Linked DNA regions of Drosophila melanogaster. Changing the gene in region 1 together with any one later gene gives a genetic interaction. Each region holds a gene or a part of one and is shown in the gene's direction. Other genes may lie near its edges. The genes, in order: BRWD3 and His3.3B.

The links.
Region 2: of BRWD3 (region 1) and His3.3B, changing one suppresses a phenotype caused by changing the other (phenotypic suppression), as found in Drosophila melanogaster (one study listed by BioGRID).

Annotation. Positions count from the first base shown.
Region 1 is NT_033777.3:24,317,112-24,322,066, forward strand, and holds the start of BRWD3 (BRWD3), read left to right. Parts: upstream 1-1,888; 5' UTR 1,889-2,003; coding exon 2,004-2,046; exon of another isoform or gene 2,047-2,297; coding exon 2,298-2,356; exon of another isoform or gene 2,357-2,480; coding exon 2,481-2,510; exon of another isoform or gene 2,511-2,671; intron 2,672-2,905; coding exon 2,906-2,965; intron 2,966-3,556; coding exon 3,557-3,803; intron 3,804-3,864; coding exon 3,865-4,672; intron 4,673-4,751; coding exon 4,752-4,848; intron 4,849-4,912; coding exon 4,913-4,955. Other genes in the region: Nab2 (nuclear polyadenosine RNA-binding 2), read right to left, coding at 1-730, 785-1,010, 1,104-1,145.
Region 2 is NC_004354.4:9,152,023-9,158,820, reverse strand, and holds His3.3B (histone H3.3B), read left to right. Parts: upstream 1-2,151; 5' UTR 2,152-2,241; intron 2,242-3,207; exon of another isoform or gene 3,208-3,417; intron 3,418-3,808; exon of another isoform or gene 3,809-4,036; intron 4,037-4,135; 5' UTR 4,136-4,159; coding exon 4,160-4,441; intron 4,442-4,580; coding exon 4,581-4,709; 3' UTR 4,710-6,298; downstream 6,299-6,798. Other genes in the region: Dlip1 (dorsal interacting protein 1), read right to left, coding at 1-144; Ost48 (oligosaccharyltransferase 48kD subunit), read left to right, coding at 390-531, 606-1,813.

The DNA of each region.
Region 1 (4,955 bases):
GGCGTTTGGGCCTTTGAACCGAGACGGTCATGCACCGATCGCCTTTCAGACCGGTCTTCCTTGGCCTTGTCAGCCGAAGAATCTTTTTTGGGGCTCTTCTCCTCCGCCTCCTCCTGGCGGGAATCGATCTCCGGTTCAGCCTCTGGACGCTTTTCGGGTGTCTTCTCGCGTCTGTTAAAAATAATGGGGCTCTTAGCTTTTCGTGGTGGAGCCTCCAATTTCGGGGGATCCTCTTCTGGCTCCTGGTCTACAGACTCCTCCCTCGCGCTCAAGTTCAACAGATCCTCATCATATTCATCGCTTTCATCCCCGATCTCGCCAATCTGGCGTAAATGCTTCTTGGCTGCATGAATTTTCTTTTGGATTTCGGCCAGCTCAGCGAGGTCTTTTTGCCGGTTAACACCGATAGTAGTTGAGATGATCTCAGACACAGCGGGCACATCCAGCGCCCTATTGGCCGATGCATCCTCATCCTCGATGGACTTGCGATTTTTCTTTTTGTGCAGGATCTCGTCTTTGGCACTGAGATCAATGTCCATGGTTTTCTTTGCCTTCTCGAGAAGCTCTTCGGCAAAAACATCCGTGATGGAACTGACAATTGGCATGGCATCTGAGGAACTTGGCTGTGGTTCCGACAGCTCATCTCCGGACTTTCGGTGCGGTCGCTTATCCTTCTTGGATCCTTTTTTGTCCTTCTCCTGACCGCGAGACTTGCGCTTCTTGCTGGAAGCTGAAAAAATTGGAGTTAGTGGGTGCTTAAGTATGATGAGCATATCCATCATACCACTGGATGTGGGGAGTGTGACCTCTTGGAGCTTTTGCAGCACTTCGTGCAGCCAGGTGACAAAGAGGTCAGTTTGATCGCCTAGGAATAGATTCAGCTCGGCGTTCATCTGCTGTTTGGTGCGCTTGTTGGCCACCATGACCATGACGTAGTCCGGCAATTCATCGTCTATAAAACCGGCCGATCCTCCGGTTCCCAGCTCCAGCAGCTTTGCCTTTACGGCGCTCTATTAATGAAGTGCAAAAATATATATAGTATTGGAGTATCCAATCCGAGCGGTATCCATAACGAGTTCATTGATTTTTTTCCAATGACTTACGCGCATCTTCTGACCAATCTCGCTGCCCAGATTGCACTCCATGTTTGCTGGTTTATCTATCGCCTTTTTCGCTGTTTATTCGCCGCGAGCATTTATTATTTACGCTTACTTTGTGGCTACACTCCACTTTTTGTTACATTAGAAAATGGCAAAACCTCCCAAAAAAAAAAAATATCGCAGCTGCTCCGATATTCATAACTAGTGGTGTGCGTTTGACATTAAGGGTATTCACGTTTAATTCACACGTTTTATAATGTATATATCGATTTTCTATAAACATAGCTTTAAAATAATAAATAGTTACAGAAATTTCATTTGAAATTAAAATGGCAAATTAAAAACTTCTGAAATTTAAAAATGCTCCTGGCCATGGCCATGAACTGAAGTGCAACATAACTTCAAAATAATCAACACCAATGGGACAATTTAAAAATATAAAAAGATTTCACTTGTTATTCATTAAATCATAAGTCTAGTTATCAAGAATTTGTGTAGTAGCTATTAAATTACATTCGAAAATTAAAAGCGAATAATTGCAAACAGTTTATTTAATCACATAGCTAAATATAAATTTCATAATAAGCTTAAATTCCAAACCAATGGCTACGAATATGTTTGACTGAGAATTAAAATTCTCAATTTGAAGTAAATATCTTAGATTGTAGAATCCTGCGAAGCATTTCAGTGCATCATCTCAAATTCAAATACGAAAATTGGCTCCTTCGGCTAAGACTCGATACCCATCTTGTGAGCCCCGCCACCAACTATCGATACGCAAAGGCATTTCATTCGGTGGGAATGGCAATCGAGTGTCACACGGGAAGAAGAAGCTGCGAAAAGAATTTTAGAAGAAAGCAACTGCAATTTTGTCATAATCGGAGCTGCAATTCGCAATGAATAATGGAAACTAGACAACCCAGTTCCGGTGATGATCTAAAGCCAGGTGCGTACCGCCCGGTGGCGCAGCGAGTGCGTCCAACGGGGCTACCAAAGGCAGCCCCTTTGACTTTGTGAAATGTGTGTCTGTGTTTCGCTCGCCCTTCGAATCGAATGGCTGCGTTTTTTCGACTGCGTTTCGCCAAGCGAAATTCACGGGCCCCTTTGGCCAGATATATCTGGAATATTGACGACTCCCAGCGAGCGCATTTTCGACAACTTGTTGCACTAAAACCCGTGAAATCCTCTATCTTGCAGAGCTGTACTTCCTCATTTCCAAGTTCCTGGCCGCGGGACCGCTGGAGGAGACGGCGAAGGTGGGTTGAAAGCAGCGCTCGCGCGAGATCGCATTGGAATCGTATTTCGCGCTAAAAGAGCGGAATTTCGTTTTGTTTACAAACATTTACATTAATTCTGAAACTAAATTCTATCCAACTGTAGGTCTTGATCCGGGAACTCGAAGAGAAGAAGGTGAGTTTTGTTGGTGCTGCAGCTGTGTTTTTGGCACAGATATTTCGGACTCGAATTGAGAGGGGGGCCAAAAAAAAAATAGAAAACCGCGTTTGTTTATACGCTTTGTTTTGGTTTTGTTGTTGTTTCTGCTGCCGGCAGCGAACGACGAAAAACCCACTTGTACGTCCGCTTGTCTCAGAGTTGGGAATCAGACTGAATTGTGGATTTGCTGGGGCCACGTGAATATATAGTCCATTAAAAAAAGAAGAGAAAAACATGAAAAAAGAAATGGAATCATAGGGATGCCCCCGCGACGTCATCGTCGACGTCACGGAGTGCAAGTGATAAGAGTCATACATGCATGCATATATATTTACACCCGTCTATATATACGTACACCTTTCGATTCCCAGGTTTTGCCGCGTCGTCTCGATTGGCAGGGAAACGAGCATGAGCAGACCTTTGAGGAATTGGTGAGTGTTTTCATAATTAATCAATTAGCTTTTCAAAGTTATCGTTTAATGCCTTTTGATCGGCATTTAAGTCTTGCGTAAGTGTGCGTCTGCTGCGGCATTTTCCGTCTCAGTCGTTCGCTCGCCTTTGTGACGTCATCGTGTCAGGGAATAGAGAAAAAGTTGCACATCAAAATTCAAGTTGTTAATTTAAAAAACATTACAACTAAAGACATCAATCATTCTGACTGTTAAATTAACAAATAAGTAAGCAACTATTTAATTAAAAAGGCAGCAAAAAATTGCAAAAATTCGTAAAAGACTAAAGTGGAAAGCAAAAATTCTAAAACCCTCGTAAAAATTGTAAATTTTGAAAAATCTTAATTTTTTAAACAAATGCTTTGTAATTTAGTTTTAACAATTAGCTGCAACCAGCCGACATTTTGGTTTCTCACACATACACATGCCCATGCGCACAGACACATGCAAGCAACCACCACTTTGCCTTGACTTGTGCGCGAGGGAACGAGACAAGCATACGTTGTTGAAGCTATCGCACCGTTTATCGCCCAATCGATAGGAATACGTTAAATTTTGATTTTGAATTCGCAGGAACGAAAGTACAAGCACATTGGCGCCAATCACTTGCTTGAAATATGCAGTCGTCTGGGTCCACTGGTGGATCGCGAGCTTCCGCCCAGTGTTCCGGGCATCAACTCGCTGTTGGGTACTGGGCGCCAGAACCTCCTGCGCACCAAGGAAACCGTCTACTGCCATCGCTCCTTAAGGGACTACTGCACCCGCCTGAATGGAGTCTCGCTGCCGGATTCGGTCCTTACAAAGCCGACCCACAACTTAGGTTAGTTGCATGGTAGAGTTTTATTCGCATATTAGAGACTAACCCATTTATATTTCCAAAGATCGCGTTCTAACTGGACGGGAACACGGCGGGGAAGTCCGTCGCAAGCTCCTCGTGCCCACGGACCTCTACCGCCGAACAAAATTGCTCCGTCGCACTGTGGGCCACCTGTCCTCAGTGTACTGTGTTCTGTTTGATCGCACAGGAAGATACATCATCACCGGAGCCGATGATCTACTTATTAAGATATGGTCAGCGGCAGATGGCCGCCTGCTGGCCACTCTGCGAGGCGCCTCATCCGAGATTACAGACATAGCCATTAACTTGGACAATACGATGCTGGCTGCCGGGTCATTGGATCACATACTAAGAGTGTGGGACATGCAAACCACATCACCCATCGCCGTACTGTCTGCTCACACGGGCATGATAACTTCGGTTAACTTTTGTCCGTCGCCACGTAGCGATCTGAAATATCTGGTGACTACCAGCACAGATGGATCGATCGCCTTCTGGCAATACTCAACGCCGCGCGGGCAAAAGATCACGTTTGCCCCGAAGCCAACGCAGTATCATGAGAAACTGCGGCCCGGACAAGCTCAGATGATGTGTACCACCTTTTCGCCAGGAGGCATTTTTCTGGCCGCTGGGTCTGCCGATCACCATGTGCGCGTCTATATGATGGGCGAGGACGGTCCGAAGCGAATATTGGAGACGGAAGCTTACACAGATGCCGTGGACTCGGTGCAGTGGTCGCATCGTGGACTGAGATTTATATCGGGGAGCAAGGACGGCACAGCACACATCTGGACGTTTGAGTCGCAGCAGTGGAAAAGTTCCAAACTATGCATGACGGAGCGTCTGGCCAGGTGAGTGCGATTTTCTTTAAAATGTTTCTAGCTAGTAAGGAATTCTCTGAAAACTAATAGCTTTGTAATTAAATTGCAGCTGCCCGGAACCAGAGGAGGGAAAGAGGCTTAAGGTAACCATGGTGGCTTGGGATGCCTCGGACCGTTATGTCATCACCGCCGTAAACGATTTTACTGTAAGCATCCGTCTTAAAACGTGCTAAACATTTACTTATAATTAATAATCCCATTTAAAAACAGATAAAAATCTGGGACTCGAAGTCAGCCAAGCTGCATCGTGTTC
Region 2 (6,798 bases), on another chromosome or scaffold:
CGGCAAGGAGGCGGGCAGGCAGGACGCTAGCATATCCGCAATGGGCACCATCTGGTCAAGCACTTGGGCACACTCATTGTAAATGGACAGCGATTCCAGGCATTCGTTTCCGCACGTGCGACAGAAGCTCTCGAATATGTCCATTATGGTTGTTGCTAAGGAATGTTATTCACAATCTAAAATTTGAATTAAAATGTTTTGTTTATAAATTGGCTAGTAAATGTAATCGATTATTAATCAAATCATCGATTTTTTATAATTTCTTGAATTCCTTCTGGTATATTTGTATATATTTTGGCACACCCTACCAGTATTCGGCCACACTGACAGCCAGTCATTTTTTTTTTTCAAGAAAAGCCGGAGAGAATTTTGTGTTTTAGTTGGATAAAATGATGTGGAAGGCTCTCCTGATCGCCGTTTTGGCGATTGCCCACTGCCAGGCGGTACTGGAAACGGACGCCAACACCTTGGTTCTGCTGGACAACCTGGCCATCCGGGAAACCCACTCGATCTTCTTCAAATCGCTGCAGGGTGAGTGAAAATGCCGGTTAACCTCTGACGTGGACAATGAAATGTGTTGATAATTGTTTAACTTTGGGCTACAGATCGCGGATTTAAGCTCACCTACAAACTGGCGGATGACTCCAGCCTGCTGCTGTCCAAATACGGTGAATATCTGTACAAGAACGTCATCATATTCGCACCAAGTGTCGAGGAATTCGGCGGCGATGTGAGCGTGGAGCGTTTGGCCCAGTTCGTCGACGATGGCGGCAATGTTCTGGTGGCGGGCAGCGAGAAATCCGGCGACGCGCTAAGGGAATTCGCCTCCGAGTGCGGCTTCGAGCTGGACGAGGAGAATGCGGCGGTCATTGACCATCTGCACTACGATGTTAGCGATGCTGGCGAGCACACAACCATCCTGACCTCCGCCAAGAATCTTATACAGGCCGACACCATTGTGGGCAAGGCCAACAGGCAGGCGGATGCCGCACCGCTGCTCTATCGCGGTACAGGACTGATTGCCGACAAGGAGAACCCGCTGGTACTCAAGCTGCTGACCGCCGAGAGCACCGCCTATAGCTACAATCCCGAGGCAAGTGTCTCCGACTATCCGCATGCCGTTGGCCGAGGCACGCTGCTAATCGCCGCCCTGCAGGCGAGGAACAATGCCCGCGTAGTGTTCTCCGGCTCGCTGCTCTTCTTCTCTGACGAGAGCTTCACAACGGCCGTGCAGTACGCACAGAGCGGTGTGTTCCACAAGCTGGCCGGTAATCGCGACGTGGCCGAGTCCATTAGCAAGTGGGTATTTGGAGAGACTGGCCGCTTGCGCGTGGCATCCGTGCAACATCACAAGGAGGGCGAGCTGCTGCCACCGGATCAGGCGTACACCATCACCGATCCGGTCGTCTACACCATCGGCATCGAGGAGCTGGTGCAGGGCGAGTGGCGCGCCTTTAAGGCCAGCGACATTCAACTGGAGTTCGTGCGCATCGATCCCTTCGTCCGCACCTATCTGAAGCAAACGAACACGGGCGCCTACCAGGCCAAATTCAAGATACCCGACGTCTACGGCGTTTATCAGTTCAAGGTGGACTACAATCGCGTGGGCTACACGCATCTGTACAGCACCACCCAGGTGTCGGTGCGTCCGCTGGAGCACACACAGTACGAGCGCTTTATCCCGAGCGCATTCCCCTACTACACCAGCGCCTTCTCAATGATGATCGGCGTGTTTGTCTTCTCATTCGTGTTCCTTCACTTCAAGGATGAGCCCGTGGGCAGGGCCGCCAAGGAGGACAAGAAGTCGCAGTAGTATGCACGTTCGTTCAACTCAAATGTAACACACAATGCACTAAAATAAAGTTCTCTGCAGAGAGAAACCCACAATCCATAAAAGAACTTGGCTTTTTTTTTGCTTAATGAAGCTTATATTTCATTAAAATTAGCAGAGTCCAACCCATTAAAACATATTCATTTTTAATCTTAGGTTGGAGTTAAAAAAATTTTAAAAAGTTATAAAAATGTAATTAGCAAAGAACAGAACCAAACTATTTGGCGGGCATGGTCTTGTCAGACAATCGAGTGTAATCGAATACAATCGAAGTAGGCCTTCGCCTACTAGGCTACCATCTCTAGATCTCAACGAAACGAAATCATTGTGAAAATTTCTCTCGTCCGAATTTGTTCGTCTCGTGTTGAAAGTGACAAATTGTGAAGAATAACTTTATTCCGTGTTTAACGGTGAGTTTTTTTTTATTGCTAAATACTTATAATACTAAGTGTGGTTCTTAAAACGCACGTGCTTGTGGCCGCTGAATATGTGCGTGTGTGCACTGTTTTCCAAATTTTTTTTTCGTTGTGAATCGCCTGAGTTTATGTTTTGCCGTTTTTGGGGCTCCGCCGGCCGTCCAGCGGAGCCCTATTTTTCACCGCACACACACAGGCGCATTCTCGCTGGTGGATACATACACAAATACACGAAGATGTGAGAGGTCTCGTATTCGCACGACTGTTGGTTGCATTGTTGTTTTAGTTGTAATGGTGAGGTGCGCTGCTTTTTTTTTTTTTCCAAAATGGCCGCCAAGCAGGAGAATAGCAAGAAATAAAAAAGTTGCAGTCGTTGATGAAATTGGCAAAAAGAAAATTAAAAAAATAAATAAAAACGATTTGCCAATGTGCGAAAACTGGCGCCAAAAAGTATGAGTAATCGTATTTATGCTGGTTGGCATAAACATATAAAAGTTATTTATTTATTTCTTAAGTGGCACGCGCGTTGATGTGTGTGTATACTAAACACGCACATTGGTTAACAAATGCAAATGTGCATGGCTGCGCTTGTCATGCGCAGTGTGTGCCATCTCTCTTTCCCACCGCCAGCTTTTCCCGTATGTTATTGCATAATTGCTTTTTATTTTCTTTTTCCTTTGGCATTCTCTTTTGTGAGGATGTGCAGCTGTCACATCTACACGCACACACATGCTGTTTAGCGGAGAAACGACGCAATTAACTGCTGGCACACCTTTCTTCTCTTTCTAACGCGAACGTGCCCCTATAGGCATCTCCCTTCGACTTGCCGCCTTTCAATGCGCGCCAAGTTTTTACCGCTTGATTTTCCTTCCTTTTGTTTATGTTTACTCTTTTGGCGCTACCAGTCGAAGAATTTTTTTCGTTTTCTTTGGCTTCCTTTTATTTGATATTTTCCTCTTGCCTGCACAAGTAATTATAAATTGAAAACTACAACTCATTACTTCAGCGTGATTGATTCCGCATAAAGCGCGAAAAAAACTCAAGAGGCTGTACATAAAAAGAAGGGGAACACAAAAAACGGCGACTCACGATGTTTGCCCGCGAAGAAAAGAAATGAGATTTTCAAGTGGTCCTCCATCGTGGAACAACTACACAGCGAGAAAAGCAGATGTAATATATCTATACCACCAATTGAGAATTAGATGGTATTCCTATTGCTATTTAGAACGGATAAATTAGGGTTTTTTTATGGACCACCTTTATGAATTATCAGAAATGTTTCTTAAGTTTTTTTAATTATAAGTAATGTGAAAACTTTAGAATCATCTTAGCTAAGCTTCATTTGCACACCAATATAAATATGGATCACACTATTATTTTTCTGAGTGTTTTGCTGCCGAGGCACGATTTATTCCTTTGCCACTGAAGTGGAAGTTTCTCGAGTGCCTCGTTCCCAGAAGATGGGAAAATATTTGAAATGGGGGGCAAGAAGGAAAAGCAGGCAGCTGCCTCAAAAAAATTTCACCTTCAACCCTCGTTATCGTTATGACCACGAACCAAAGTTCCTCGTCAGTTGGCCGCCAGCGCTTCGGCGCTGTGCATCGGTCCAAACTTTGGCTCCCAGCGATATCCATCCGTGTATATCCGTCAAGAGTCCACGACACAGCACAATCGTATCCTGGCCAATTGCATCGTGCACTGCGCCTGTGCTGGACGAATAGTTTAGAGTTTGTGCCCAGTTCATCGAGTTGTCTTTCTCATCTGGCGAGGATCAGCGTGTTTATTTTGGGTACCAACCAAACAATGATTGTAGAAGTGTTTATTTAATCTGTGTCAATCTGGAACGCGCAAAATCTAACATTTGCATTTCCCATTCTCTTAATTGCAGTTTAAAAAAAAAAGCTAAGAAAACATGGCTCGTACTAAGCAGACTGCCCGTAAGTCGACCGGAGGAAAGGCTCCTCGTAAGCAGCTAGCCACCAAGGCTGCCCGTAAATCGGCGCCATCCACCGGCGGAGTGAAGAAGCCCCATCGTTATCGTCCCGGAACTGTGGCTCTTCGTGAGATCCGTCGTTACCAGAAGTCGACCGAGTTGCTCATCCGCAAGCTGCCCTTCCAGCGTCTGGTTCGTGAAATCGCTCAGGATTTCAAGACCGATCTGCGTTTCCAGTCGGCTGCCATCGGTGCCTTGCAGGTGAGAATTATGCTCCAAAGAATCAGAGTGGCTTAACTTAACTAAAAATGACAGGATTCATGGGATTATGAAGGGGGGGCTACTAATATCTAAAAGGAACTTGGTTATCCAACTCATATGAATTTCTCTTGACTTACAGGAAGCATCTGAGGCGTACCTGGTGGGTCTCTTCGAGGACACCAACTTGTGCGCTATCCACGCCAAGCGCGTGACAATCATGCCTAAGGACATCCAGTTGGCGCGCCGCATCCGTGGCGAGCGTGCTTAAGGTGGATCAGCAGGAACGCCAGATTCGATCACTGTCGTCCATTCCCGAACAGTAGACCATTCACGTACCGTTGTAGGAGAGGTGCACGCCAAGGAGCTATACCAGCGACACATTGATCCAATCTATCATTCATATTTACATGTATACATTTATCATCCTTTTGTTGTTCAATCGAATCGTCAGCATGACGTTGTCGATAAGAAAAACACCACACACAAAACAACACACAACATTACTGTAATGCTTAAAAATTATTTTATAACTCTTATTATTACTATTATCAATTAGTTTTTAAGTTTTTTTTCTCGCCTGTGCGTCGTCGGTGTCACCGTGTACGTTGCGCCGTGCTCCTTCTTCTCCAAATCCGGGTCCACCTCTTCGTTTTGGAAGGAGGGAATACCACCGGGCGGCCGTTGTCGCCTGTCCGCCTGCAACATCCGCCACCAACCACTCCAACAACTGTCCAGCTGGCGGGCTTCGGTTTCCAGGTAATCCGTGATCTTTAAGGCGCCTGCCTCGCCTTTATCGCTTCGATCGAGGAGAGGTTCACCATCTGGCTGCCGGGATGTGCGGAGCCTGGAGATCGGGGCCAATCTAACGTCGGCTGGACGTGGCAAGGCGGACAGACGGTTGCGGACCGCCTGGCGGTGATTCCCGGATCTCTGGATGGGCGGCGAGGGCATGGCCGTCTGGCGATGCCACTGACGGCACGCGGCTTTTATGAAGATAATATCCATATATAACACCGAAGACCGAATCGAGTACACTTAACTTTACACTTACGTATATGCATATATATACATAAATACATATATATATAAATATATATATATATATAAATATAAATATAAACCTATGCGGAAGGAAAAGAACTAGATATTAATACTCTTTCTTCTGTTCACTTTTCGTTACTGCAAATCATAATCAGAGCATTATATATATATATATATAGAAGTTATATATATATATATACACATAACGAAGGGATGGGCGTGACAGAGTTAGTTGATTAAATAAGATTTTAGATTTACATGCATTTTATACGTTTAGGCGGACGATAGAAGATGATTCTTCTTCGGGAGATGAAAAAAAGATATAAAGATGATTCAGCAATCAGATTAACTTACACATCTATAGATTTGGAAGAGCATCGAATAAAAATAACCAAGACAGAAATCACATAACAATACAAAATAAAAGCAAAAGCGCCGAGCAGAGCATTGAATATTTCCCAATATTTATATGTAGTTTGAAACACATGCAAAATAATCAATTGTAAACGCCCATAAAACATGCATATATATATATATAAATATACATATAGCTGTAAATTGGTGTCGATAACTAGTTTCACATTGAACATTTAAACAAATCGGACTAAATATGTGTCTATTCGTATCGTCGTAGCTTACAAGAACCAATATGAAAACAGAAAACAAAAAACGAATCCCCCACAAAACACAAAAACAATTTACAACAACAAATCAGTGACAGCAACAGCAAAAATAACTGGAAACATCAGCAAAAAAAAAAAAGAAAATAAAAAATAAACGGTTTTTTCTATAGAAGAAACCAAAAAAACCCAACACCAACGAATTGTATTTTCTGCGAAAGCGAGACGGGAATAGTGTGTACGAGCGGGCGGGATAGGTGGCGATGGTACAGTTGACTCCAAAAATCGAAACCAAACGTCATTTGCTTTGTTTACGTGTGTTAATCTCGGTGCGTGCGTGTGTATGTGTGTTACTCTTGCTCGTTTCTGTGTGTGCAAGTTTGGCTGGCTGCAGCTGTATGTGTGTGGGTGGCTTTGGCGCTGCCCCCTTTTTTTTGTTTGTCTTTGATTTGCGTTTTCAAGGCTGCTATTAACTGGCGCCACCTAGCGGTGGTTCTGTGCCACAGGCGCCCAATAAGTGTTAATAAACCCCTTTGTTCGTAAGCTAAGACGCCCAATAGGGGTTAAGGGCTTATCTTTGTAATTAAATGTTGATATTTATAATAATGTACATTGAAGCAATAATTTATTTAATTTAAGTTACCAATGTTTTCCATCTTTTTGTCAGTGTAAATATCGTTATAACTCAAGCATACC